Linked DNA regions of Saccharomyces cerevisiae S288C. The gene in region 3 interacts genetically with the main gene of each other region. Each region holds a gene or a part of one and is shown on either strand. Other genes may lie near its edges. The genes, in order: PAU15, PEX7 and WHI4.

Region 1 (2,549 bases), on a different chromosome or scaffold from region 3:
AAGTACAATTATTCACAGCATACTACACCGCGCTACGGTTCGTTACCAACCCTCACTAAACCCATAACGAAAGTGGGTTATCTTTACTATTTTAAACTATATTTTCCTTTTCTTTTCAGTATCCTCCTTACCGTACTAGCACATTTTTCTTATATGTCTTTTTATTTTCCCATCGTTGAATATATTCAAGTATCCGTTCTGGTTCTACAGTATTTAATATTCACGGGTCAAGACAAGAGCAACTCTACTGCTGTAACAGGTGAATAGCTTGAACGGATTCTGATCTACGAATCCTGTTGTAAAACTGGCCTATTCCGTACAGCTCACATAAAAAAACCCCTAGTTGTGAGAAAGATAAAAGAGCAACTATGCGTTCCCTATTATATTGACGCCCAGCCGGTAGTTCGTGAAAGCAAATGAATTTATAATATTAATATATGTTTATATGTAATCAGCTGTATTTATATTGAAAGCATTTTTTATTTCATTTTTTCGTTACTTTCAATGTCTATGGAATCTCATTCGTAAAGGCATGTCTCTATTTTGGAATAGCAGTGTAAATACCGTCCTTAGATAGAGCACTGGAGATAGCTGGTCTCAATCTGGTAGAGTACCATGGAACACCAGTGATAACTCTGGTGACTTGTTCAGCTGGAATACCAGTCAACATGGTGGTGAAGTCACCATAGTTGAAAACAGCTTCAGCAATTTCAACTGGGTAGGTCTCACTTGGATGAGCTGCTTGAAACAAGTAGTATTGGGCCAAATGAGCTCTGATATCGGAGACGTAAACACCCAATTCGACCAAGTTAACTCTTTCGTCAGATGGAGATAGAGTGGTAGTGGCTGGGGCAGCGGCAACACCAGCAGCGATGGCGGCGACACCAGCAGCGATTGAAGTTAATTTGACCATTATATTTGTTTTGTTTTTTAGTGCTGATATAAGCTTAACAGGAAAGAAAGGAATAAAAACATATTCTCAAAGACATACAGTTGAAGCAGCTCTATTTATACCCATGCCTTCATCAGTCATCACTACTTAAACGATTCGTTAACAGGTGCTCATTTAGCACCTCACATATCCTCCATATCTCATCTTTCACACAATCTCATTATCTCTATGGAGATGACCTTGTTTCTGAACGAATCATACATCTTTCATAGACTTCGTATGTGGAGTATTGTTTTATGGCACTCATGTGTATTCGTATGCGCAGAATGTGGGAATGCCAATTATAGGGTGCCGAGGTGCCTTATAAAACCCTTTTCTGTGCCTGTGACATTTCCTTTTTCGGTCAAAAAGAATATCCGAATTTTAGATTTGGACCCTCGTACAGAAGCTTATTGTCTAAGCCCATATTCAGTCTGCTCTAAACGGCTTCCATGCAAGAAATATTTCTATCTCTTGAATTCGTACAACATTAAACGTGTGTTGGGAGTCGTATACTGTTAGGGTCTGCAAATATGTAAACTCTCGGCGAAGGCCTTGGTGCAATTACGTAATTGTAGCCGCTGAGAGGCGGATGGTATTGAGAGAAGTTGATATTCAAAGAATTGATTATGATAAAAAAAAAAAATTGTAACCAATCCGTAAATACTGAAACTCTTTGCAGTAAGAAATCTTTCATCCCCAGAGAGAACGCGGAAATATTCAGCCTAAGTCTCTCCAAATTGATTTCTTTCATTTTGGTAGCGAAAGACTTAGTATCAACCTCAAAAAGTTGAAATTTTTGTAGATATATGTGCGGATGACATGAAGTATCCAGCTCCTTTGTGAATATGGAAGCAAGTTTCTTTCAAATTATTATCGACTTTTCCTCTGCCCCTTTTACCTTATAACTTTAGGAAACACTACCCTATCCATACTCAACTAAAAAAGTAGTACGTTTTCTTCTTTGAGAGGTATGGTGCAAACCAGTGCAATCTGATTCCAGATTGCCCTCACGTGAGGCTTCAGTAAATCTCGATCCCTCTACATATTACATTATCTCCTACTTGGCAAAATAGATGTGGCTTTAGTTGATGAAAATTTACCACGTCAACTATTTATGTCCTTTCTACAATAAACCCCGACCTACTATCCTCTATGTTGTTTTTAACATACCATACGAGCGTCATATGTCTTTTGGTTCACTGGGGAAGACCATCACTGTTGAACGTTTGTTGAAAAGTTCGAGATGATGAAGATTGCATAACAAAATGTAAAGTTATTTTTAGAAACTATAACGGTTCAAGACATTCAACACTATAACATAGCTTGGCTGGCTTGAACATAAAGAGGAAGAAGCAAAAGCAAGAGTAAAAAGCTTCTCATTTATTTCTGGCATTGTTGATCACCCAGTGCAAGCCCAATTTCGCCTGTGCTTTTCTTAAATTGTTTCTGACAACACCGAGGTTTTCGCTGCAGAAAAGGAACATATGGTGGTAATTTGTATAAGGGGTTAAGGGTCCAAAAATTTGCTACCCTGTCGCTCACTACAGCAAAATATCTCGAGATATCCGAGGAGTTAAAACTGACTAGACCTGTTGCGTAAACCTCATGCAAGCAG
Region 2 (3,423 bases), 690 kb from region 3:
AGTATATGTTATGACGAATATGAAGATGAAGTTGATTCAACTAAAGCAAAAAGAAAAAGGGATTCTGAAAATGAGGAGGAATCTGAAGGAACAAAAAAAAGGAAGGATAATGAAGGTGCGCCCCTACGCACAACCGCCGATAATGACAGTAACCCATCGATTACAAATGCTACGGTTGTTGAACCGCCTTCTATTCCTCTCACTGAACAACAACGCACTCTCAATGATGAAGAAACAAATCCAAGCTACAAACACTCACCAATCAAGTTACCTTGTGGCCACATTTTTGGGAGGGAATGTATCTACAAATGGTCAAGATTAGAAAATTCTTGTCCCCTTTGTAGACAAAAGATCAGCGAATCTGTAGGTGTTCAACGTGCAGCCCAACAAGATACGGATGAAGTAGCAGCTAACGAAGCTGCTTTTGAACGTATTAGACGAGTTTTATACGACCCAACTGCAGTGAATAGCACTAACGAAAATAGTTCCGCCCCATCCGAAAACACGTCCAATACAACGGTTCCCACTATCGGAAATGCAAGTTCTGGCGAACAGATGTTATCAAGAACAGGCTTTTTTTTAGTGCCTCAAAACGGCCAACCTTTACACAATCCAGTCCGTTTACCGCCTAATGATAGCGATAGAAACGGTGTCAACGGGCCGAGCTCAACTACTCAAAATCCACCCTCTAATTCTGGTGGTTCGAATAACAATCAAAGTCCGCGCTGGGTTCCCATCCCTTTGACTTTGTTCCAATTCCACAGTCCAAATCCGAATCCTTCCGCTTCTGATTCTTCGGCAAGCCCATCAGCAGCGAACGGTCCAAACTCAAATAACACTAGTAGTGACGCTACAGACCCTCACCACAACAGACTAAGAGCCGTTTTGGATCACATATTCAACGTTGCTCAGAGGGGAACTTCTGATACCTCTGCAACAACAGCACCCGGAGCACAAACTGTTCACAACCAAGGACGTAATGACTCATCGTCCTCTGATACAACGCAAGGAAGTTCCTTTTTGGAAAATATTTCACGATTAACAGGCCATTTTACGAATGGCTCAAGAGACAACAATAACGACAATAACCATAGCAATGATCAACAACGAGGTGGAAGTACTGGTGAGAACAACAGAAATAACTTGTTTTCCTCCGGTGTTGCCAGTTATAGAAATCAAAATGGTGATGTTACTACCGTCGAACTACGCAACAACAATTCTGCTGCCTTTCCTCCTACAGACGAAAATCCCTCTCAAGGCCAAGGTTCAAGCAGTTCGGACACCACCATTCATAACGACGTCCCTAATGATAACAATGAGCAACGATCATCACAATAAACAATACCGCTTCTGAAGTATGTTAATATGAAAATATGTCCTATTGGCAGTCATCCATTTTCAGACATTATTTTCTACTCCTTTTACCTTTTTTTTATCTGCATCTTTATATATATATATCATATACTTATTTTTCTTTACTTCTACTTAAAGTTCTATAATCATTGTTAATCAGAAATTTGCATGTCTCCAGCAAGTAAATATGAAGGCCGAGAAATTAAACCACCGACATAACCTCCTCTGAAAAGTCGTTTCGCAAAACAGTAAAAGGTGAAAACACTTTTAAGAACTGTGGAACACAAACTGTGTTTTCTTACCATAAAATCTTTTACCGGAGGTCGAAATCGTTTTCTTTCTGATTTGGAATTCGACGCTCGAAAAGTGCAGAGATCTCATATTGTTAACGGACTATCATCTAACTTTTTGCATAATTTATACAACATGCTCAGATATCATATGCAAGGTTTTAGTGGGTACGGTGTCCAGTATTCTCCCTTTTTCGATAACAGGCTCGCGGTAGCTGCTGGTTCAAACTTTGGCCTGGTTGGGAATGGAAAATTGTTCATCCTTGAGATTGATCGTTCAGGTAGAATAGTGGAAGTTAATTCCTTTTTAACACAGGATTGTTTATTTGATCTTGCATGGAACGAAAGTCATGAAAACCAAGTGTTGGTTGCACAGGGCGATGGTACATTACGCTTGTTTGATACAACCTTTAAAGAGTTTCCTATTGCTATATTTAAAGAGCATGAACGAGAAGTATTCAGTTGTAATTGGAACTTAGTCAACAGGCAGAATTTCTTAAGTAGTTCATGGGATGGATCTATAAAAATATGGTCCCCTCTAAGAAAGCAAAGTTTAATGACCCTTACTCCACGACCTTTAGAGATTACCAAAATGGTGGATCCATTAAACGCCATTATATTGAAAAAGAAAAGCTTTACAGGTATTTCAAAAAACAGGAACTGTGTATACCAAGCACAGTTCTCGCCCCACGACCAAAATCTCGTATTATCCTGTTCAGGGAATTCTTATGCAAGCTTATTTGACATTAGACTACCTTCCGGCAAAAATCAGAATAATTTTTTAGTGCATTCAGGACTAGAAGCATTGACTTGCGATTTCAACAAATACAGACCTTATGTAGTTGCCACAGGAGGTGTAGATAATGCCATTAGAATCTGGGACATTAGGATGCTAAATAAAAATGAATCAGCGACTATCAAGAGGACTGTGCCCGGCCAACTTCACAATTCATCATGCATCAATGAAATCCCTAATGCGCACGGGCTGGCAATCAGAAAAGTTACCTGGTCCCCTCATCATTCCAATATTTTAATGTCAGCTTCATATGATATGACCTGTCGAATATGGAGAGATCTCAGCAACGATGGTGCAAAAGAAACATATAAAACTAACTCTACGGATGCTACTAAAGGTTCCATTTTCAATTTCACACAGCATTCAGAATTCGTATTTGGAGCTGACTGGAGCTTGTGGGGAAAGCCAGGATATGTGGCTTCAACTGCATGGGATGGAAATTTATTTGTATGGAACGGCTTAGGTTGACACATATTCTTTTTACACAAATTTTTTGCATTATTTAAACTTTAAAATTATTTTTCAATCATTGTCAGCATTTGGCAGATCATTTACGTAATTATTTAATATTCTCAACACGAAATTATGGGTAACAACGCTTCTGACTGTGCAAAAGAACATTCTAAAAACATACCTACGGCAAAAACTGCTAATTACTCAAATTAATCAAGTTTTTATAACGACATAAGCGAGTGCTGAAAGAAGGAATATTTAGAGTCCGATTACCGTTTTATTAATAAACGACATACTTATATATTTGCTGGGCGTTCCACCCGAGGCACGTGATCAAAAGTGATTTTGGTTTTTTCAAAGGCTAAGCTTCGATCTCACTGGAAAAGGAACAATAGCAATACCTAATATAAAACTCAAGCCTCCCAATTATGTTTATAACGGTGAAATAAAAAGCCGACAGAGCAGCTTTTTCTGAGAGGATCGACAAAAAATGTCCTTACCACTAAAGCCCCTTACAATTGACTCAAATAA
Region 3 (3,766 bases):
GAAGCTCAACCTGATACCTCCTTTGTTGTTGAGGGAAGGGCGGGGGTGAGGTAGTTGACTACCATATAATTCTGCCAATGCTCTAGTGGCAAAGCTAACATCCTCAAATTCTACAAAACAAATTGGACCATGGCCATGACCGTTGCCATGACCGTGAGAGTTCATTTTATTCCTGAAGGATAATCTACGAAAACCTTGCTGATTAGAAAACAATTGCCTTAATTCTTGTTCCGTGGCATCCGGAGGTAGATTACCCACATAAAGAGTATTACAAGGAGGATTTTGGTCCGCGGGATTGGCTGGTGGTGGCACCTTGGCTAGTAGTGATAGGTCAGCCTGTGAAATAGTTGTGGAACCTGCCACATTTGTTTCGTTATTTTTCGAAAATGCAGAGGCAGAAGCTGTAGAAGAACATTCTTTCTGTCGTGATATTGTACTGGTGTCTTGTTCACTCACTAAAAAGCCTTGATTCACCTTTTGGTTGTTGAATATTGAAGACCCGTTAGGAGCAGAAGATTGTGGGTGGCCATTTTCCGTTTGGAGATTCAGGTCCAAATTGGAAGGAACATTCGAAACGCTCTGCTGAATACTTTGTGTCTTAGTTGAAGCATTAATTTGGTTCAATAAGTGATAATGCGGTAGAGAAGTCGCGGAATGTATTACTCCTGAATTGTTCAGATTAGGTTGTGATTGAATATGTGGAACATCCTGGCTAATTGAATGGTGGGATGGAGGCAACAGATTAGACTGATGATTTTCTTGGCTAGATAATTGAAAAAGAGGAATATTAGCAGTTGAGGAAGCATTCCACTCCATCACAGGCGTAGATGACATCGGAGGCTCTTGTAAAGATGCACCAAATGAAGAATTACCAACATCATTAACTAATTCATCACCATTCCAAATACTTTCATTTATTTCATCCTTTTCTAGTAGCAAAAGTGACTTGCCAGCGTCCTTCTGAGGTGGCATTCCTGCTGGAACTGGTGTGGTGGTTACGTTTGATAAATCATGTTGTGAGATGCTATTTCGTAGAAAGGGTACGGATTCTTTTCTTTGAGAGATTGTTTCCAATCCGAATGGGTCATTGAATGAGAAACGGAGGGATCTCTCTGAAAGTAATGAAGGCCTTGGCTTGGCCGCTGAAGGCCCTAATGGAGAGGAACTAGTTTTTCCATATGATATAGTATTAAAACTTTGATTTTGAATTTCATTTTGCGCACTGGACGACAATTGGTAATTCTTTGGAGAACTATTTGTAGTGCCAGATGAAACATGTTCTTGAAAACTCACTGGAAGCTGCGTTTGTTCATTTACTACGTCAATGTGAGACCTAAAGGGGAAACTAGGCCCAAAAATCTCAGACTTCGAGTTTAATATATTAGCATAATGGGTTACTAAAGAAAGGGATCCAAATTTGACCACAACGACTTTTTCATTGTCATTAAAGGGTTCTCTATCATCCCTTTTTAGTTCTATACTTGACACCCCAGTTGCTAGTGAAAATATACAATAACACTCTCTTAGTGTAATGTCTTTTGGCAAATTCCTCAGCAAAAGACAGTAGGGGCCAACATCCACATCATGTGGGGCTAAAGAATTGACGTCATTCCCGTTCCCTTTCCCCGTGGACATGGTCAAATTATGAAGCATAGAAGTCATAATAGGTTCTTTTGCAAAACCTTGCGGGTTCTCTCTTTTAATGTTAGTCTCGCTGTTGCTCCTAACTGCGGAAAAACTATATGCAGTTGGCATGGGATATGTTGCCTCCTTTGATAATGGAACGGTTTCTGAACTAGAACTAAATGCCCTTTCTATAAGAAATTTGGATTCGTTTAAATTCGTCTGATTATGCACTAATGACATTGTTAATTGAGAAACCTTAAGCGTTATTTTTCAGCGTAGATGTGGCAACTAAGGTTCCTGTTTTCAAAAACCCTGCTTTTTTGAAAAATGCTCGAAAAATAAAGAAAGAAGTCAGTCCCTTGTTTTAGCAAAGTGATAATTTGTGAAATATGACACAAGTAGAAGATAAACCTTTACACGCAGAAATAACAGCGGATTATATTTTGATTCTTAGATTTCCTAATTTCGTGAACTTTTAACTAAGAAGGAAAAAACAATTGAGATGAGATCCAAATGGGAGGAGTTTTGAAACAATTGTTTGCTATTATTTCAATGATTTAGTGTTGCCACCAGATGGGTCTATTTTCTGTAAAACTACCGGTTCGAGGCTCCTGCCGTAACCTTAATTGTACTTTTCTATGATTTAATCCAAATAACCATTCCATTCCTCTTTAAGTCTAAGAAACATTAAAAAACAAAAAACACCACGTCCGGGTAATGAAAATATAACGCTGGGTAATGCACGTGTTGATAATTACATCGTTTTTCACTAATATCGTACCAAACGAGATGTTTGCAGAAAGAACAAACCAATATTTTAAATAATCAAAAATCAAATTAGCTATTATTTCTCATTTGGTGATAATAATATATACATACATATATATATATATATATAAATATATAGGTATATATATAAATAACCTAAGACAAGTTAAATGAGTATAAAAAACCTTGAACGTAAATGAAAAAAAAAAAAATACTAGTAAATTGACAACATAAAAGACAAAAATAAATGAAAGAGGAAAGTGGTAATAAAGTGGTTAAAATTTGTTGTAGTTGTAGATAGGAGGAGTCCGCGTAGACAGTTATTCAAATTCAATTGAGGAAGAAAAATAGATTTCAAAGAATACTGGGAATTTGTTAATCGAGAAGTGTTTAAATTTCACTCCTAAATCCAAAAGTACCGCCAGAAATACTTTTTCTCACTCTACCCATGAAACTTTGTTTACCAGCCTGTTCCTCACCTTGCTCGTCGTCATGGTAATCTTGCTCACCCTCATCGGAACCGTACTGATGATGTCTTGGAGTGTGCTCGGCTGAATGAGTAGAATTATTATAGTCGTAGTCAGACCCTTTTGAAGAATTCTGTCTGCTGTGACGGTGATGATTGTGATGATGTTTTGATTTTCCGGAACCCATTGAACCCACCGACACTTTCCTTCCCTGAGAAGTTGTTTCATTATGAATTGAATAGGAAGTGGTTTCTGGGTAGGTGCCCTCAGATGGCTTTTGAGAACTAGAGGTGTTGGTGTCTTTAAATCCGTATGTTGGGACATGTGGGTCAATCAAACTAGGGAAATTACCAACTTCGGCAGCATAAGCGTTTGAGGCGTCGGCACCACCAAGGTCGGTTCTACGTTTGTTCTTCAAATCTACTTCACGCTTGTAGCCCGGTGCGTCTTCCTCTAAAACTTTCGCATTCTTATTGACATCAATATTATCGTCGCTAGAATATTCTTGATTTTGGGAATTGCCGCCAGAACCGTAACTGGCCTTTTGTTCTGATGATGGTTCCTGATCGTGAGTCATTCCAGTAATATCTTGTGATTTGGCATATGTAGGGTCCGCATTTTTAATATTATCGTAAGCAGCTGTTTCAGCATCCCCTGATTTGGAGTATGTAGTGTCTCCAGATCTGGAATTATCAAAGGCAGCAACATTAGCGTTTTCGAGATGAGTGTCTGTATTTTTACTATCATCAAAAGGGTTCGAGCTGAAGGTCTTGGATTTTGCACCCATCCTTCCGGTTGTATCTACGTTTCCAGTAGTACCTGTTTCCGGATTATTGGTGAAATCCTTGGCATCGGATGCAATATCCTGTGTTGTTTTTGCTCTTCTTGGCTCAATTTGGTCAATA

Evidence for each region.
Region 1: mutations in WHI4 (region 3) and PAU15 together harm fitness less than expected from each alone (positive genetic interaction), as found in Saccharomyces cerevisiae (one large-scale study listed by BioGRID).
Region 2: mutations in WHI4 (region 3) and PEX7 together harm fitness more than expected from each alone (negative genetic interaction), as found in Saccharomyces cerevisiae (one large-scale study listed by BioGRID).

The regions. Positions count from the first base shown.
Region 1 is NC_001141.2:432,293-434,841, reverse strand, and holds PAU15 (seripauperin PAU15), read right to left. Parts: upstream 914-2,549; coding exon 539-913; downstream 1-538.
Region 2 is NC_001136.10:739,957-743,379, reverse strand, and holds PEX7 (Pex7p), read left to right. Parts: upstream 1-1,779; coding exon 1,780-2,907; downstream 2,908-3,423. Other genes in the region: ubiquitin-protein ligase SAN1, read left to right, coding at 1-1,338; DOP1 (Dop1p), read left to right, coding at 3,383-3,423. UniProt on the Saccharomyces cerevisiae protein: Receptor required for the peroxisomal import of proteins containing a C-terminal PTS2-type peroxisomal targeting signal, such as 3-oxoacyl-CoA thiolase. Specifically binds to cargo proteins containing a PTS2 peroxisomal targeting signal in the cytosol.
Region 3 is NC_001136.10:54,481-58,246, forward strand, and holds the start of WHI4 (Whi4p), read right to left. Parts: upstream 1,867-3,766; coding exon 1-1,866. Other genes in the region: HBT1 (Hbt1p), read right to left, coding at 2,785-3,766. UniProt on the Saccharomyces cerevisiae protein: Has a partially redundant function to WHI3, a dosage-dependent modulator of cell size.